Schizosaccharomyces pombe: one gene and its partners. The protein of the gene in region 1 interacts with the protein of each later gene in a biochemical or structural test. Each region holds a gene or a part of one and is shown in the gene's direction. Other genes may lie near its edges. The genes, in order: pal1, pom1 and kin1.

Region 1 (5,446 bases):
AGAAGCGAAGCAAAAAATAAATTTAATCTTCCTACGTTCATATCCGCTTCTTTTTCAATTTCTTTGATACTGTTCGCGATACGTAGCTGCTGATTTTACGTTATTTTTTTGTTTTATCTTTTTCTTTATATATTTATCTTTTTTGTTATATATTCACTTAGTTGCTTTAATTGCTGGTTATTTAAAGATGATTGCTGCAACACCCGCTAAATCCAAACCATCGGATGTCAACTTGGAACAGACGTTCAAAGGTGTTTCTGAAACCTCAAAAATTGACCTTCGAAGGTCTAGGGCCGCTTACCGACCTCTGGAATTATCTCCTACTCCCTCGATTTTTGCTCGTAATTATCAACGTAATGCGGTAGACTTTACTGGATTTTTTGTGTTATTTTGGGTTGCTGTCTCTATTATGATTTTCATGAGCTTTTTAGAAAATTTCGAATTGACTGGAAGACCAGTTGTTGGCACTATTTTTAAATACTTTCAGTCTAATTTGTTAGATCTGGCAAAGGCAGACCTTGCTATGTCTTCAATGTTTCTACTTGCTTTTCCTTTCCAAAAGATTTTTGCTTTGGGATATCTGCGGTGGTATGGTTTAGGCGTTTACCTCTATTCCATTCTTATTTTACTTTTTTTAAGCCATTGTGTTTTACGCTGCTGTCTTAGCAACTGGTCCTGGACGCATCGTGCTATGTTTATTCTTCATTCTATGGTAATCCTTATGAAGCTTCATTCCTATAACGTTGTCAACGGTTGGTATTCTTATTGTTATCATTCGTTAAATAAGCTTCAGTCAAAAAAAACCGATCTTGATGATGATGAACGATCCTCAGTTGAGTTTTATGAACATTGTCTCAACCATCATGGTAATACTTATCCGGAAAATTTAACCATACCAAATGCTTTGGATTTCCTTTTCATGCCCAGCTTATGTTATCAATTATACTACCCAAGAACCGCCCATGTGCGAATTCATTATTTGATTGAATGCGCTTTGGGAACGTTTGGTTGTATCTTTCTTTTGGTCATTATTTCTGATCATTTCATGGTTCCTGTACTTGCTAAAGCCATTCGAACCATTATTGAAGCTCCTGAAGACGCATCTGCTACTTATTTTGCTATACGTTTAGGCCATACTGTAGCATTTTTGATGTTCCCATTTATGCTTAGCTTCCTCCTCGTGTTCTGGGTCATTTTTGAAGGAGTTTGTAATTTCAGCGCAGAGATTACTAGATTTGCCGATAGAAACTTTTATGATGATTGGTGGAATTGCTGGACTTGGGATCAATTTGCCCGAACCTGGAATAAGCCCGTTCATTACTTTCTCCTTCGCCACGTTTATGTTCCCCTCAACTCTTTCATGTCAAAGTCTTTATCGACTTTTTTCACGTTCTTTGTCTCCTCTGTATTACATGAACTTGTTATGGGATGTATCACTTTAAAAATCCGCGGTTACGGTTTGTTTTTTCAAATGACTCAAATCCCGTATATCATTATTCAGCGACAGAAGTTTGTTCGAAGACATAGACTGCTGGGAAATATTGCGTTTTGGTTTTCTATCATAATTGGTATCGCTCTTATTGCAGCTCTTTATATCTTATTTTAGAAGCGATAGGGGTCTCCATTATGAATAATTACCTCTTAGATTTTTTTTACAATGCGTTATTTTTTCTAGTGACTATTTCTATCTTTGACACTTTTTGTGGCTCATTTCATCTGCCCAATAAGGGCTCCTTTATGACATTTTATGAATTGTTTTGTAATGCAAGTAGGAAATGCCATTTCTATTTGAACACGTCAAAAGGCTGCAGAGTAATTTTGGTAAAACTTAGTTTTTGTGCCTCTGTGGAACTTCCGTTTCATTTTGTGTCGGTTCATTTGCTTGTTTATGATAAAATGGAATCCTGATTAAATTAACGAATTAAAGAAATGGGTTTAAAACATTTTTTTCGTTGAAAATTATGTTAACCGATTTGTTGTTTACTTAAGATTTTTAACATTCACAGATGTTCGTTTAATTTTTAGCCAGATGATTGCTTTGATTAATAAGTTTCCTCATCTCGTATTTTCATTAACATAACCATCACTGTTATTAATCGAATTAATGTGTCTAATCGTCAGTGGTTAGGATATTCGATTTATTCAGTTTTCCCATTCTTAATAAATGTACTTTTCTGTCTTGCACAATAAAATTATTATAGCAAGAAACCTAGATAACGCAACCCAATGTGCAATAGCACTGTACAGTAAATTGCCTATAAGCAGGGGTAGATATTTTTACCACTGGAATCCCAACTCACCAAGAACCCATATCTTGTAGTTCGAAGTTTGATTCGGAAAAACCTCTTGTGTATTTCAAGGTGCTCTTTCTCAAAACGAAATCGCAAGGGTATCGTTTGGGTGCAATACGGGATGATGGTAATAGAGAACCCTTTTTTAAGTACTGCTACAAGCAGTCAGACACCTCAAGAGGATGGCGTGTACACGTCTTCCCTGCACAACAGTAACAATCCTTTTTTAGCTCCCAAGACAGAGCGTGTGGCTGATCCGGTCATGGAATCTATGGCAGATGACTTGGTATGTAAATTTTTGAGGCTGAAGTAGATATAATTCGGTCATTGCTTCGTTACGTGAAGATTTGTTAAATTTATTGAAACCTTTCCAAATTAGTGTTCTATTAAGAGTTTTTAAGTTTCTAATTTAAAGCGCTCATAACGTACATTTTATTTAGACAAGGAGTTTCTTCGGTTTGCAATGAAGTTGAGCCGAAAATCGAGCACAGCTTTCAATTTTAATATGTTTCAAAAACTAACATTTTACCAGTTTAATAGTATTCAAAAGAAGAAGGAGCCATCTCCTGCTTCCTCTGCTTCAGCAAGTCCCGTTAAAAAATCTGCGGAGGCATTAGCCGAACGATCTAACAGTTCGATGGGCACTTTTGACCCCCCTCCAAGATATTCGAAAATTGCTAGAGCTCGTAGTACTCATGTTGCCAGCTCTAGTCGCCATCGTTCTCCATCGCATAACGACAGTTCACCATCCACCCAATCCAGTTTGAAAAGCAGGGGTAGCATTCGACGCTACAAGTCTGTACGAGAGGGATCACATCGTCCTGGTCGGTCGTCAAAAGAACCATTAGATCAGATAGATCGTTTGGACGTAACAGGGCTTTATGGATCTGGTAGCTTTCATCACGATGGTCCTTTTGATGCTTGTCGACCTCATCGTAATCGAAATTCTAAGAAAGCACCTGTTGCCGCATTTCCAAAAGATAGTATTGCTAATTCCATTCCGAAAGTTGGGGAAACTTATAATGACCCTTCAGTCCCTAAGGATTTTAGCAGAAAAGCCATTCATGAGAGTTTGCGTACAAAAAACATATTGCAATCTCCTTATAAATCTGTTGGCATCGAAGAAGAATTTCCTTCATCTGGCAATAATGATACTCCAGGTTTAACTGACTCTACCCGTATAGAAGGTGCGATGGCTTCAAAAAATGCAATTGCACGTAATGAAGAAATGTTGGCAATGGAAAAAGCGGGCTTGGGAAGAAAAAATTCTCTCATTCGAAAACTTGGATTAAATCGTAGCGCTAGTATGATGTCTCGTACACCAAATACTTTGAATAGGCCATCTAATTATCGGTCTCACTCTTCCATGGGAACCCGAAGATCTCCACTTAATTCCCCTTCTCAACTTGACCCCATTTCTAACGAGAACGAATCTGATACTGATGACAGTAACACTGGCCTTCGTAATCGTACATCTCCTACAGCTGCTCCACCGCCACCTTCTCGTAGGAAAACAGGTGGACTTAATACACGACCTTATCCCCAACACGCTGAATCTCAAATGTCTCTTCCGCTTACTGCGAAAGAGCGTTCCAAACCCAAGAAAATGGGATTTTTTAGACGATTATTCCACAAAAAGTCGTAGGCTTTTCAGGCTTGAAACTTTATTTACTATAATAGCATCTTTGAGTATCATCTTTCTCTATTCCCCTTTTTATTTGTTTACCAATTTCTCAACATCTAATACGTCTGTACCCCTGCTTTTAAATATTGAATCAGCTTAGTTCAATTCTTCGTCCAGTTTGTTGGAAGTTTCTGCTTTAATCTTCCGCATACTTATTATTACCATTCTTTGTTTTTGTCCTAATATTTCGCATCTTGTCCTTTTCTCTTTTGCTTCTTCTCGACATTCACTAGTTCGTCTGAAGTCTACATTTTTCATGCCTACTTGTTCTGCATAACTTTAACAAATCCAGATGCTTTTCTTTTACATTTTCCTTCTTTCGAAATTTTTTCACCTGGTGATATTTTGATTGCTCTCTACTTTAAGTAATTTAATCATGATCTCTATTTTTTCTACAATGCAGTCTTCGTTCATTTACAATCTAGTTTCACTAAGTGAATTGGCAGTAGATATATAGAAGCGTACTCTGCATGTTATAGGTAGCTGATGTTAGTTCCAGGAATGTAAAATCGTTATAGGAATTTGTATTGATAAAATTCTATCTTGTTAGCGTGTGAACTTAAACAATGATTGGATTACATACCTTGGTTTAAAAAATGCTGAGAAACAAACTTCAAGGGTATAATCAATTTTCAGCTGATCTTTTAAATTAACAGAACGGCAAAATTCAGGTATTTTGATTTGTGCGTGGATTGTGTTTTTTAGAGTCGGTGCCAAATTGGAATAAACAGATTTATTAGCAATTTTCCAAGTTGATTTTGCCCTTGTTTTCGTCTTAGTTTTTTGATAACGCTTCAAGTATCCGCAACTCGCGAATGTTTCTTCGGCCTGGTTCATACAATAACCACCGTAATGATTTTGAGTATTAGGGTGAAAGATATGAGTTTCCAGCAATCGTGCTTTTATATTATGAATCTTTTGAGAGTTAGCGATTAACTGTTATCTTTAGTTTAATTAATTTACTAGACTTTACCCTTCTGTGATGATTATGAGTGTAGCAAATGGTAAAATCGATGATTTGACCACTAAAAAACAAGGATCTGTCCGTATGAACCTCCAAGGTAGTTTTTGCTTCTTCTAATGAAAGATAGGGTAGGCTTTTAATGCATGAGATCGGGTTATATAGCTCCGCTATATTATTATGCATTGAAGTGATTACCCGTTTAGGAATTGTACAACGAGTACAGCGAATATTTTGATCCAGAGATGTTAAAGTCAGCGTACTAAGATGTCAGTTACTTTTTTCGGTTTAATCTTTTACCTTGAAATATAGTATAACAGTTCTAATTTCGATGAATGATAAGTACCTGGACCTATATCCAAAGGAACGATGAAGGAGAAAGGAAACCCAACTTTACAAGAACATTTAAGGAAAAGGCCCTTGTTGCCTATGCTGGCAGAAGCTGCCTTTGAGAGAATCAGTGCAGATGTCTTAAGGTTGCAAAACGAGTACTTTTCAGAGATAGAATAG
Region 2 (7,295 bases), on another chromosome or scaffold:
ATCGCAAGTCCGATGTTACATGTTTGTTGTATAAGTTTTTGAAAAACATGAGACTGTTGTTTTGACAATTCTTTGCCACCACTAGACATATAATCAACATTCAGTCTTCCATCTGACAATACGGATAGAACAATGATAATTTGTTCGGAATTATTCAGTTTGTTGATTTCTTGATATTGGGCATGAACGATCGGATGCTCCTTAAAATATAGAGAGAGGTGAAGGGAGGAAGATGCCGCAGTCTCTGCTAAATCTGCTGATTTGATATTTTCCAAAATCAATTGTAATAATAAATATTGGCGTACAATAGCAAGTATTCCTCGAATTTGCTTGGGATGATGAAACGGTACGTGACGCAAAGAACGTGCGGAAACATCGAACCCTGTTAGCTGGATGGCTTGATTTTTATTAATGAATTTGTAGTTCACGGTTGATTTTGAAGGTAAACCAAGCTGGTGAAATTAGTTAAGTTGATATTTAGGGAAAGTACTTACCATATGACTATAATTTTGGACAGGCCAAGGAATGGTAATGTCATGGACATGAAGCAAATCAAGTAAAGGTTTGACGCCCTGCTCTGGTATTATTAAATTGATATCATCAAAAACTAGTTCCATTGTTGTAGGAATAGGTGTCAAAGTATTTTCAAGTGCCCAATTAATTTTTGATGATTGGAGGATAGGAGGAGAATTTAATAAATTATATCCGAATAACAAGTGAGGTAGCGACTCATGAGACAAATTATCCATAAAAATTTGAGTGCTATAGGTTTTATCCAAAAGCTTCCAGTATACAATACGCAAACCAAGTTGTCCTTCGTAATTACTGAGAGGCTTTCCGTTTCCATGCATTATAACATTTTCTTCTTGTGCTAGCAAAGATAATTCTGCTTCATAAATAGCATTTAAAGAAGAGGATAGTGAGTCTAAATATTGGAAACAACTTTGTTGGACCGAAGGAGAGGAGTGATCAAAGGTAGCCAACCATTTGACATTCTTTTCAAATAGTGGGGTATTGCAATTGTAAATTGCATCCTTAAGTAATTTTTCTGCAACAGGATTATTATATTGCTCACCACTAGCGTTTGCAAAAGCCAAAACAACGTTGATATCTTTTGGAGACGCATTTATGGGAACAGTGATCTAGATACTAATTAGTAAAACGGTTATGTACAGGATTTAAACTTACGTCGATCAAAATTATTTTTCCAGCTAAACTGAGGACCACTTCATTGGGTTTGGAGGAGTCTTGAAAAACCTCCAGACCATACTTTTTAGCCAAATATTCAAATCCAGTTACAGAGATATCATTCCAAGGAACTGATGATAGACAATCAATCCAATAACGCGTCCAGTTAATCTGATTGGGGTTAGAGGCGTTTCGACGGAAATGAACTTCAGAAAAGAGATGTGGTCTATCCATCGAAAAGATTATTAAAGAAGATTTAGTAAATTAGTCGTGTATTTCGTATTTAATCAGCTTAAAACACTGTATATAAGCGCAATTTTATGTCTGTTCAGCGAGCAATTTAATTTGTTCTGCAAAAAGGAAGCCTTTACTGCCATCAAACTATTTGCTAGAAACGCATTAATTGCAAAAACAAGTAGGTAATTTTGAACCGCCTAAAACTTAGTTTCAATGGGAAGGTCTGTGTGATTGATTTATCTTTATAACGAGGGTTAAAACAGTAGTTATGGGGAATTTTATATGTATACAAATGAAAACCAATTTTAAACCTTGGACTAAAAAAAACCCAAAGTATGTTCACTCAAACTCTTTTTAAAGCATCAAAATATATATGCAGTAAATCTTAATAAAATATTTTCTTTTTGGTAAAATTTGTGCACAAATCAATAAGCGTTCTATGTTTCATTTACAGCTTGCGTGCCCTTTCAGAAGTGGTTGGTATTGATATGCAGGGTGTAGCGCGGCTTTAATTAGCCACGAACGTACTGCTACTAGTTTGCATTTTAAAGAAGATAAGAGACTGTAACTGAAGGAGGGAGCTTATAGAAACAATATTTTGTTTCAAAAAAGCCAGTAAAAGCGTAATATAGTGAGAATTTTGGCTTTTTGAAGCAAAGTTTGCAAATGGGCTATTTGCAGTCCCAAAAAGCGGTTTCTCTGGGCGACGAAAATACGGATGCATTATTTAAACTTCATACATCAAACCGGAAAAGCGCAAACATGTTCGGAATAAAATCTGAACTATTAAACCCATCTGAACTTTCTGCCGTTGGTAGTTATTCCAACGATATTTGTCCAAACCGCCAGAGTTCTAGCAGTACAGCAGCAGATACGAGTCCTTCGACGAATGCCTCAAATACGAACATTTCTTTTCCGGAACAAGAGCATAAAGATGAGTTATTTATGAATGTTGAACCAAAGGGAGTTGGTTCATCTATGGATAATCATGCTATTACTATACACCACTCGACTGGCAATGGTTTACTCCGAAGTAGTTTTGATCACGATTATAGACAGAAAAACAGTCCGAGGAATTCCATACACCGTTTGTCAAACATAAGTATTGGTAATAACCCAATCGATTTCGAGTCATCTCAGCAGAACAATCCTTCGTCGTTGAATACTTCTTCACATCATAGGACATCTTCAATATCGAACTCTAAGAGTTTTGGAACTTCCTTATCATATTATAATCGTTCATCAAAGCCTAGTGATTGGAATCAGCAAAATAATGGGGGGCATTTGAGTGGGGTTATATCTATTACACAAGATGTATCATCCGTTCCTTTACAATCTAGCGTTTTTTCCTCGGGGAACCATGCATACCATGCTTCAATGGCTCCAAAGAGATCCGGTAGTTGGCGTCATACTAACTTCCATTCTACTTCACATCCCAGAGCAGCTTCTATTGGAAATAAGTCTGGAATTCCTCCTGTTCCAACTATTCCTCCTAATATAGGTCATTCCACTGATCACCAACATCCTAAAGCAAATATATCTGGATCCCTTACGAAATCAAGTTCAGAATCGAAGAATCTTTCTACAATCCAATCCCCTTTGAAGACATCCAATTCTTTTTTCAAAGAACTTTCCCCCCATAGTCAAATAACCCTTTCTAATGTTAAAAATAATCACTCACATGTAGGATCACAAACCAAATCACACTCTTTTGCTACCCCCTCTGTCTTCGATAACAACAAACCTGTTTCATCCGATAATCACAATAATACTACTACATCATCTCAAGTTCATCCCGACAGTAGAAATCCTGATCCGAAAGCTGCTCCTAAAGCGGTTTCTCAGAAGACAAACGTTGATGGGCATCGTAACCATGAAGCTAAACATGGGAATACTGTCCAAAATGAGTCTAAATCACAGAAATCTTCCAACAAAGAAGGTAGATCTTCAAGAGGTGGCTTTTTTAGCAGATTGAGTTTTTCGAGAAGTTCTTCTCGTATGAAGAAAGGAAGTAAAGCTAAACACGAGGATGCCCCTGACGTACCGGCAATACCACATGCTTACATAGCTGATTCTTCTACCAAATCTAGCTACCGGAATGGAAAGAAAACTCCTACGAGAACGAAAAGCCGGATGCAGCAATTTATTAACTGGTTCAAACCATCCAAAGAAAGAAGCTCTAACGGTAATAGTGATTCTGCATCACCTCCCCCTGTTCCAAGACTTTCGATTACGCGTTCTCAGGTTTCCCGTGAACCTGAGAAGCCCGAGGAAATTCCTTCAGTTCCTCCACTACCTTCAAACTTTAAAGATAAAGGACATGTACCTCAGCAACGAAGTGTTTCGTATACTCCTAAAAGGAGTTCTGATACGAGTGAATCATTACAGCCTTCCTTATCTTTTGCGTCTTCAAATGTGTTGTCAGAACCGTTTGATCGTAAGGTTGCTGATTTAGCTATGAAGGCCATTAATAGCAAACGAATTAATAAGCTTCTTGACGATGCAAAAGTTATGCAGTCCCTCCTTGACCGAGCCTGTATAATAACTCCTGTCAGAAACACGGAAGTTCAATTGATCAACACCGCTCCTTTAACGGAGTATGAGCAGGATGAAATAAACAACTACGATAACATATATTTTACTGGGTTAAGAAACGTTGATAAACGTCGGTCAGCTGATGAAAACACCTCTTCGAATTTTGGGTTTGACGACGAAAGAGGAGATTACAAGGTTGTTTTAGGAGACCATATTGCTTATCGATACGAAGTTGTGGATTTCTTAGGGAAGGGGAGTTTTGGACAGGTTCTACGTTGTATTGATTACGAAACTGGAAAACTTGTTGCATTGAAAATTATCCGTAATAAAAAACGCTTTCATATGCAAGCTCTCGTCGAAACAAAAATTTTACAAAAAATCCGCGAGTGGGACCCATTGGATGAGTACTGTATGGTTCAATATACTGACCACTTTTATTTCCGCGATCATCTTTGCGTTGCTACTGAATTATTGGGTAAAAACCTTTATGAGTTAATTAAAAGTAATGGGTTTAAAGGACTTCCAATAGTAGTCATTAAAAGCATAACACGGCAACTTATTCAGTGCTTAACACTTTTAAATGAAAAGCACGTTATTCATTGTGATTTGAAACCCGAAAATATTTTACTATGCCACCCATTTAAATCACAGGTGAAGGTGATTGATTTTGGGAGTAGCTGCTTTGAAGGTGAATGCGTTTATACATACATTCAATCTCGGTTTTATCGTTCTCCAGAAGTGATATTGGGTATGGGTTATGGTACACCAATAGACGTTTGGAGCCTTGGATGCATAATAGCGGAAATGTACACTGGATTTCCCTTGTTTCCTGGTGAAAACGAGCAAGAGCAACTCGCTTGCATTATGGAAATTTTTGGACCACCTGATCATTCGTTGATTGACAAATGCTCACGAAAAAAGGTGTTTTTTGACTCATCTGGAAAGCCAAGACCATTTGTATCATCGAAAGGAGTAAGCCGTCGTCCTTTTAGCAAGTCCCTTCATCAAGTATTGCAATGCAAAGACGTTTCGTTTTTAAGTTTTATATCTGACTGTCTAAAATGGGATCCTGATGAAAGAATGACTCCACAGCAAGCTGCTCAACATGATTTTCTTACTGGAAAGCAAGATGTTAGAAGACCTAACACTGCGCCAGCTCGTCAGAAATTTGCGAGACCCCCAAATATAGAAACAGCTCCAATTCCGCGTCCTTTACCGAATTTGCCAATGGAATACAATGACCATACCTTACCTTCCCCGAAAGAGCCCTCTAACCAAGCTTCTAATCTTGTTCGCTCTTCTGACAAATTCCCCAATCTTTTGACAAATTTAGATTATTCAATAATTTCAGATAATGGTTTTTTACGAAAGCCGGTAGAGAAATCCCGGCCGTGATCACACATTACCTTGGAATAGGTTGAAAACCTTTTGCTTGCGTTTCAAGTACATCAACTTTTTTTTCTTTTTAATTTGACCCTTCCATTTCAAGTACTGTTTTACATCATTTTATTAGTAATTCTTCCTTTTTCTATCTACTTTCTTTCTTACAAGGCTGGACTTAATATGTTTAGATAATACTTACCATTTTATTTTATTCCTCATGAAGGATATTTGTTTATATTTACCACTCATACGCTCCTTTCTACTTATAGCAATACTATGCATAATTTATTAAGTGTTTTTTGAACTTCATGTGAAATATTAGAATGAGCGTTGATTGCATTAGTACAACGTGTCAACCATGCTAGTTATATTTTCCATTTAAAAATCCGTTATCTGCTATTAATGTAATTACTTCATGCTACTACTTACAATACCAGTGTGAAGTAAAAAGGGTTTAGCACACAGGACACGAGTATTCAAGTTAGTGTGCTTATAATTATCTTTGCTTTATATCGTTCGTTTATTTATTGAGTAACTCAAATCGTCTATCCTTTGATTCCAGGGTTGCTCCTTTGGACCATTAGTCAGTTCACGTGTATTACTATTCTAATAGTGTAAAGATTGCATTCTTTATCAACAATGAAATAGAAAAAAGATAAATAGAAAATTAAAATAATAAATTAAGGTAGTAATAAAGGTCACTAGTAATTTATATTGTTTACGTGTTTATAGCGGGAGTCAGCTCGTTATTCGCATTGTAGTTTTTGAACTCAACGACCACGGTTGAATTTGGCCAAGAGCAGCTTTAAGCCTTTTTTTATCTGAAATAGCTTTCTCCATTGTTTTGTTTTGAATGGAAATCCATCCCGGAAAAGGCGGAACGATGAAATTATACGTATAAAGCCATACCTAAAGACAAGAAAAATAATATCGAATTTGTGGACCTTATTCACAATACACCCTCACTTTTCAATTTCAGTTAAAATTTTATTAATTATTTAATCAATAGCTATCCTAGAGAATCCTTATACTTTTGTTTTGAGAAAACAACTCCTAAAAAAGAAATGAAATCAACGAAAACCCAACCCTCACCTGAACGTGAACGAGAGCCTTCTTTTTTTCAAAAACTTTTTGGGAATTTATGTTCTTGCTTTCAAGATGCTTCTATTGATGAGAAACCTACTTACACACCGGCTAAGCCTGTTAAAAAAGCACCCTCAGTCGTGCAACCGCGTAGGGTAAGTCGTACACTGCGCAGCTCAGAATCTGTACATACGAATCACGGTCCCGAAAGGGTATTTGAGTCACCGACACCTGCAAGAACTTCTATTTCTTTGGAGTCAGCAATTAGTCCCAATGGAACTACAAATGAACAAGATATTGCGCAGCAAGGGGACATGATAGATAGCCATGTTCATTTTGGTGAACAACCAACAGAACCCATCGACTTTGCAGATCCCCCGTTACCGGAAGTTAAGCGATATGGAGAGGGCAACTGGCTTTTACCTCCCATAGCAAAAGAAGATGAAGGGAAAAAATGCCTTATTTTGGACTTGGATGAGACTTTAGTTCATTCCTCTTTCAAATACATTGAACCAGCTGATTTCGTTGTTTCCATTGAAATTGATGGATTACAGCATGATGTTCGTGTAGTCAAACGCCCAGGTGTCGATGAATTTTTGAAGAAAATGGGTGATATGTTTGAAATAGTGGTTTTTACAGCTTCTCTTGCAAAATATGCCGATCCTGTTTTGGACATGCTTGATCATTCGCATGTCATTCGTCATCGTCTTTTTCGTGAAGCTTGCTGTAATTATGAAGGAAACTTCGTAAAAGATTTATCTCAGCTTGGTCGTAATCTTGAGGATTCGATAATAATAGACAATTCACCTTCAAGTTACATATTTCATCCTTCGCATGCTGTTCCAATATCTTCATGGTTCAACGATATG
Region 3 (7,187 bases), on another chromosome or scaffold:
TTTGTCAAGTTATATGGCGAGTAAGCATTTCCCATTGCCTTTTTTATCTCCTTTTCAAATTCTGCTAAATGTTTAGAAGTACCATCTGCAGTGGAAGATTGCGCAGATAGAGAATCATGTAGCAATTTTTCAAGGGCATTAAATCTTTCACTTGGGAACTGTGAAGTAGAAGAAATATCGTTCAAACGCTCCAAAGCATTAGTCAACGCAAAATGCAAAGAGTCCATCTTCTGGCGTTGAGATTCTACTAGATTAAAAAGCTTTGCCAAATCAGCCTTTATTGCGTTCAAACCTTCAGTGTCAATAACTGTTTGAGGACTAGTATTGTCACCGACGCTTTGCTTTGTATTGGAGGTAGGATTCAAATTTTCATTATTAGATGTATCTGGAGGAAGTATATTGAGGTTCGATAAAGCCACCAAGTCTTTTGCAGACGTAGATTGAGAGGAAACTCCAAAATAATACCCCTGAGGCAAAATGACATCTTTTACTTGAAAGCAGGGCTTGTCATTCACAAATAACTCTAATCCAGATTGGTCACCGTATTTGAGAATAATATTGTTCAAAGCCTCAGGAGAGCTCTCAATGGTACATTTAGCAAAGGGCGGAAGATCGGGGTCAGTAAACTGAGCAAGTTCAAAACTTTTATCATTCAAATAGCCACGAACAAAGATTTTACCAGTTTGATCGATTTCCTGGGAAATCAGAAGGCCGTCCCACTTATCGGAGGCGCCAAAAACTGGACCTTCTGAACCGACAGCGCTTGTATACCAAATCGCAAAAAAGGTGTTTTCGTTCTCTGATACATGAGCTACAAATGAAGTCGATAGCTGCCAGCCAACTTGTCGTAAAACGCTAGTTGACCAAAGGGATCCAGAGCGTGCTTCATTACTGTCTTTGCTGGTTAAGTAAACGTAACCTGAATCTTCATCCACACTACCGTACCATTTCCATTCAACGGGAATGGCGTTACTTAGTGAATGAAGTTGCAAAAACTGAGATTTAGGGACGGCGTAAGCCAATGTACAACAAAACGATAATACATGAAACAGGGAGCAAAACTTCATTTTTCTTTACTTCGTTTAAAAATAGATAAATGAATATTGTGAAAGTATGCCAAAAAAAAGAGAGAGAAACAGAAATTGAAAGAAAGGATTATTTGGTTAAGACCAGGGACTTTTTGCTCTATTACTTATAGAAAAAGATTACTCCAGTCCTTAAATCCTTTAGTTACCGGGAACCAAAGTAAATAGATGTATTTTTGGTTTATTAGTTACCGTCAGAAAGTTTATCTACAAAATTCCGTAAATGTGAAATGACAACAACCGCCAACTCAATCGTAGTAAATAAGGATGATATTTCGAAAGTCACCTAACGAGTAATGTTAGACTTCCCTATATTTAAACATGGCAGCTTTCTGAGCAACTATGGATGTTGCAGTAAAATTGTATATGAATTGGTTTAATTGCTCGAAAGCATTGTTTGTGTGCAATGCAACTTTTCAATGCGAAGTGTATTTAATGATTATAACAAGCAATAAATGTAGTAAAAAAGACCATTTCTCTACTCCACATCAGAGACAGAAACCAGTTTTTGTTTTTTTTTAAATTGTGACTAAAAAAACAAAAAAACAATCAATGAATTAAGAGTACCGTCATGGTCGATGACTAATTTTAGTCGTTAAGAAAATTAATTGATTGTTCCATCGAAATAAATTTCATAAGCTTAAGAGACATGAAAAATACTTAAAACAAAACTCTAGAGTAACTTTAATATTTCGTTAATTTAAAAAGTTTTGACTTGGCACGATAATTCAGATGTATGAATAATGTAAAAACACACGCGTATTTGTTCATTTATGAGGAAACTGTGATGGTGATTTATTCATTGTATTTTTGAATACGCATATATTTAAAAGATTTAAGTATACAATTTCAATTGAGTCGTTTGCTGCATACTAAATCCATTTTTAGATACCATGTTTTTCTCATAACCATAAAGGAGCATGCTTGCGCCTCGGTATATAGCAGTCGTGATCTTTTAAAAGGGTGTGTGGGAAAGGAAAATACAAGTCGATAAATACATGAAATAGATTAAAAAAATAAAAGTTTAAGAAAATAGTAACTGGTAGGCTATTTTGAAGTCTTATCTCTATATAAATCGATACTAAACGTAATGAATGCTTTAGCATGGTGCATTCATCCATGACATCTCCACTGCTGCTTTAACCATTCCGTACAACAACAAAGCCAGTGCATTTGGGTTAGGGAATCCTTCCTTTACAGTTTCTGGCTTCATTTCCTTTTTTTGTAATAATTTAATTGAAAGGAAAGAATTGAAGAGATATTGAATGCCTTAGGGGACGTAGCATAGATTTGCAGTGGTTGTTAGACAGGAAACAAATTGCGGGAAAATCTCAAAGTCGTTTGACTTTCTGTTGCTCAATAAAAGAAACAGGAGACCTGTTTATACTAGAATTTCTCAAACAAGAGTTTTTACGACCGAAAATTATCGAAACAACTATATTTTTTGGTCGTTTATCTTGTTCATCGAAAAAGCTAAGCCGGTTTACCTGTTCTTCTTCCATCTTCCTGCTGCTCTAATAATCTCATTTGTTATCTTTTCAAGCTTTGCTTATTTGTTTTGATTGTAGAAACGGCTTTATCGGCTTGTGAGCATCCTTCTTTTCACAAACAATATTGATTGACTACTAATCCGTTTCTAAGCCACGAGCATTCTTGTAACTAGATCGCTTTGCTTATTTGTTTTCATCTCGTACAAGAATTTCTTCGTCCCTTTATTGTTTTCTTTTTAATTTTTCGGATTTCACGCTTTTTCGTAATATTTGTCATCTTAGGTTCGCAAGGAAACTGGTGCCACGATTTACGATAACAAAGTATTTTTTGTCAACCAAGATTTACACGTTTGTATTATTTTCACAAAGTTATTATTTTATTACATTACTCAGTCGGCTTATTTTGAGTTGATTGCTAATTTTTGCCTCTCAAAAGTTCAAGCAGTAATTTTATATCTGCTTTTTTGTCTGTTGATCCCATTTCCTGATGGAGTACCGTACCAATAACGTACCCGTCGGTAATGAGACAAAGTCTGCCGCTTTAAATGCGTTGCCGAAAATTAAAATATCTGACTCGCCCAACCGTCATCACAACCTGGTGGATGCTTTTATGCAATCTCCTTCTTATTCTACACAACCAAAATCCGCTGTAGAGCCTCTGGGTTTATCTTTTTCTCCTGGGTATATTTCTCCTTCTTCTCAGTCTCCACATCATGGCCCCGTAAGGTCTCCATCAAGTCGAAAACCGCTACCAGCATCTCCTTCTCGTACGCGGGATCATAGCCTGCGAGTACCTGTATCTGGGCATTCTTATAGCGCTGACGAGAAGCCTCGTGAAAGAAGAAAAGTCATAGGCAATTATGTACTAGGTAAAACCATTGGGGCTGGTAGCATGGGGAAAGTTAAAGTTGCGCATCATTTAAAAACAGGTGAACAGTTTGCCATTAAAATAGTTACCCGTCTTCATCCAGACATAACGAAGGCAAAAGCTGCTGCTTCTGCTGAGGCTACTAAGGCAGCACAATCAGAAAAAAACAAGGAAATTCGTACTGTTCGCGAAGCTGCCTTATCTACTTTGCTCCGTCATCCGTATATTTGCGAGGCAAGAGATGTTTATATTACTAATAGTCATTATTATATGGTCTTTGAATTTGTCGACGGTGGTCAAATGCTGGATTATATTATTTCACATGGAAAATTAAAAGAAAAGCAAGCTCGAAAATTTGTGCGTCAAATTGGAAGTGCGCTGAGTTATTTGCATCAAAACTCTGTGGTGCACAGAGATCTAAAAATTGAAAATATTTTAATTTCGAAGACCGGTGACATCAAAATTATCGATTTTGGTCTTTCAAATTTGTATCGACGTCAGTCTCGCTTGCGCACGTTTTGTGGTTCATTATATTTTGCTGCTCCAGAACTTTTGAATGCTCAACCGTACATTGGTCCAGAGGTAGACGTTTGGAGTTTTGGAATAGTACTTTACGTTCTTGTTTGCGGAAAAGTGCCATTTGATGATCAAAATATGTCTGCCTTGCATGCGAAAATAAAAAAAGGTACCGTCGAGTATCCAAGTTATTTAAGTAGTGATTGTAAAGGTTTACTATCAAGAATGTTGGTTACTGATCCTCTCAAGCGAGCCACGCTTGAAGAAGTTTTGAACCATCCTTGGATGATTCGCAATTATGAAGGACCTCCAGCTTCGTTTGCTCCGGAAAGATCTCCGATCACTCTTCCATTAGATCCTGAAATTATTAGGGAAATGAACGGTTTTGATTTTGGACCACCAGAAAAAATTGTTCGTGAATTAACTAAGGTAATTAGCAGTGAAGCTTATCAATCTTTAGCTAAAACTGGATTTTATTCCGGGCCTAATTCAGCTGACAAGAAAAAGTCTTTCTTTGAATTCCGGATTAGGCATGCTGCGCATGATATCGAGAATCCAATATTACCATCTCTTTCAATGAACACTGATATTTATGATGCGTTTCATCCTCTCATTTCAATTTATTATTTAGTTTCTGAACGTCGTGTATATGAAAAAGGTGGAAATTGGAATAGGATAGCAAAAACACCAGTTTCTAGCGTTCCTTCTTCGCCAGTTCAGCCAACTAGTTATAATCGTACTTTACCGCCAATGCCGGAAGTTGTTGCCTACAAAGGCGACGAAGAATCACCTCGTGTTTCTCGAAACACATCACTTGCACGCAGAAAGCCTTTGCCTGATACGGAATCTCACTCCCCTTCTCCTTCAGCAACCTCCTCCATCAAAAAGAATCCATCCAGCATTTTTAGAAGGTTTTCATCACGCCGAAAACAAAATAAGTCTTCTACATCTACTCTTCAAATTAGTGCTCCCCTTGAGACCTCACAATCTCCACCAACACCTCGAACCAAGCCGTCTCACAAGCCCCCAGTATCTTACAAGAATAAACTTGTTACCCAATCTGCTATTGGAAGATCAACCTCTGTTCGTGAGGGCCGCTATGCTGGTATCTCCAGTCAGATGGATTCACTAAACATGGATTCAACAGGGCCCTCTGCATCCAATATGGCAAATGCACCTCCGTCGGTTCGTAATAATCGTGTACTTAATCCTCGTGGTGCTTCCTTGGGGCATGGGCGGATGTCAACTTCTACGACCAACCGCCAAAAGCAAATCCTTAATGAAACGATGGGCAATCCGGTGGACAAGAACTCTACTTCCCCATCCAAATCTACGGATAAATTGGATCCTATAAAGCCTGTTTTCCTTAAAGGCTTGTTCAGTGTTTCCACTACATCGACTAAAAGTACTGAGTCAATTCAACGAGATCTTATTCGGGTAATGGGCATGCTTGATATTGAGTATAAAGAGATCAAGGGTGGTTATGCATGTCTATATAAACCTCAGGGTATCCGAACCCCTACAAAATCGACTTCTGTTCATACACGACGTAAGCCTTCTTATGGCTCTAATTCTACCACTGATTCTTATGGATCGGTGCCGGACACAGTCCCATTAGATGACAATGGTGAGTCGCCTGCCTCTAACCTTGCCTTTGAAATATATATTGTGAAAGTCCCTATACTCTCTCTTCGTGGCGTTTCTTTTCATCGAATTAGTGGAAACTCATGGCAATATAAGACATTGGCTAGTCGTATTCTTAACGAATTAAAATTGTGATTGACTATTAAAGCTGCATACTTTTTTGAAATTATTTATTTCACTTCATTTTACGTTATGACCACCTAATTAGTGTTTATGGTTTTTAATACTAAGACCGCTTCAGGTTGAACTATATTAGACGTTGAGCTTTTTTAGAGACGAGAAACTAGACCTCTAATGCTCTTGCCTGTGAAAGCAAACAGATGCCAGAGGCATGTAAAGTCAACGTGTAAATGCACCCTCGTTCGCTTATGTTTAAGCCAGATACATAAGGCTACTATAATTAATGATATATCTTATAGTAATTCGTTCACTTATATAGTCTAATACGACGTTTTTGTTGATACTTATCTAGCAGTAATATTATTATTAACCCATAACTATAAAATACCAAAAAACCATTGTATAAAAACCTAAATGAAAACCCGTGCTATATGAAAAGTAGCTAAGTAAAAACCCTTTTTTACTTCTTCCTTTTTTGCAGAACTTCCAAAGCACTAATTGAGTCCATTCCGATAATATTATCATGAACTTCTTCGTTGGCTAATTTTTCAGCCATATTTACAAGACCGCTCGTCAAGTATCTACCAGAAAATCCTGTTCTTATTTTTTCGTGTAATAAGGGAGCAAGCTCTGAGCGAAGATGCGCTATCTGTTTCTTATTCTTACTAGATTCAGATTTTTTTGGCAAATCCGGATCCTCATCATCAGAACTTTCAACTCCCAATTCCTGAGCCATCGATTTTAACCAAGCTTCCTCACGTCCCACTCTTCCGTCTTTTCTAGTGAGATTTACAATTTTATGTGCTAAGACGACCCTCGTTTTTAAAATGTCCAATATTGACATATCCACAGGAAAATTAATAAAGGTCTCGATTTTCTTTTTCAACCGATAACATAGTCGTTTCAGCTGTGACAGTTCTTTAGGACCACACATTAAAATTGAAACGCCATCTTCGTTAGCGCGAGCGGTACGACCGCTTCTATGAACATACATATCAGCTGTATGAGGAACATGATAATGAATTACGTGCGTAACACTAGGAATATCAATACCACGGGCGGCCACATCAGTGCAAACAAGGACTCCTTTAGGATTATTTTTGAACCTTGTTAGTTAGTAACATATAAATAAAAATAACTTACTTTTCAAGAGATTGAAGTCTTTTTTTCTGATCTAATTGAGCATGTAGAGGATAGGATGGAACTTTTAACTCATTTAGAAAAGGAGTGATTCTCTTAATATCCTCAATACCATTGGCAAAAACCATGGTTTTTCCAGGATAACGCATGATCAAATAATAAAGATACAAGTCTTTTTCAGCTGGAGCACACTCTATGAGCCCTTCTAATACGCGGCTTGCCACTGCACTTTGAGGATTGGCATCCAAAAATTTGGGTTTGCCAAAGAAACGAACCTCCTTCAACATATTTTCTATGCAGTCGTTAGTAAGTGAGAAAGTAAAA

The links.
Region 2: of the proteins of pal1 (region 1) and pom1, one has a biochemical effect on the other in vitro, tested with the Schizosaccharomyces pombe proteins (2 studies listed by BioGRID).
Region 3: the proteins of pal1 (region 1) and kin1 form a complex in vitro, tested with the Schizosaccharomyces pombe proteins (one study listed by BioGRID).

The regions. Positions count from the first base shown.
Region 1 is NC_003421.2:2,395,115-2,400,560, reverse strand, and holds pal1 (protein Pal1), read left to right. Parts: upstream 1-2,301; 5' UTR 2,302-2,412; coding exon 2,413-2,577; intron 2,578-2,823; coding exon 2,824-3,936; 3' UTR 3,937-4,365; downstream 4,366-5,446. Other genes in the region: acyl-coA-sterol acyltransferase Are2, read left to right, coding at 188-1,606; arrestin family membrane adaptor Mug170, read right to left, coding at 4,465-4,513, 4,559-4,890, 4,949-5,198, 5,237-5,446. UniProt on the Schizosaccharomyces pombe protein: Involved in cellular morphogenesis and cell wall integrity. Important for the maintenance of a cylindrical cell shape.
Region 2 is NC_003424.3:532,522-539,816, reverse strand, and holds pom1 (DYRK family cell polarity protein kinase Pom1), read left to right. Parts: upstream 1-1,943; 5' UTR 1,944-2,091; coding exon 2,092-5,355; 3' UTR 5,356-5,697; downstream 5,698-7,295. Other genes in the region: mediator complex subunit Med1, read right to left, coding at 1-452, 495-1,142, 1,189-1,422; NLI-interacting factor-like phosphatase Psr1, read left to right, coding at 6,408-7,295. UniProt on the Schizosaccharomyces pombe protein: Polarity factor involved in localization of polarized growth and cytokinesis. Forms an intracellular gradient that serves to measure cell length and control mitotic entry.
Region 3 is NC_003423.3:2,692,106-2,699,292, forward strand, and holds kin1 (MARK/PAR-1 kinase Kin1), read left to right. Parts: upstream 1-2,226; 5' UTR 2,227-3,062; coding exon 3,063-5,738; 3' UTR 5,739-6,023; downstream 6,024-7,187. Other genes in the region: emp46 (lectin family glycoprotein receptor), read right to left, coding at 1-1,067; ATP-dependent RNA helicase Mak5, read right to left, coding at 6,184-6,829, 6,867-7,155. UniProt on the Schizosaccharomyces pombe protein: Has a role in establishing the characteristic rod cell shape. Important for cell polarity and is involved in directing growth to the cell ends.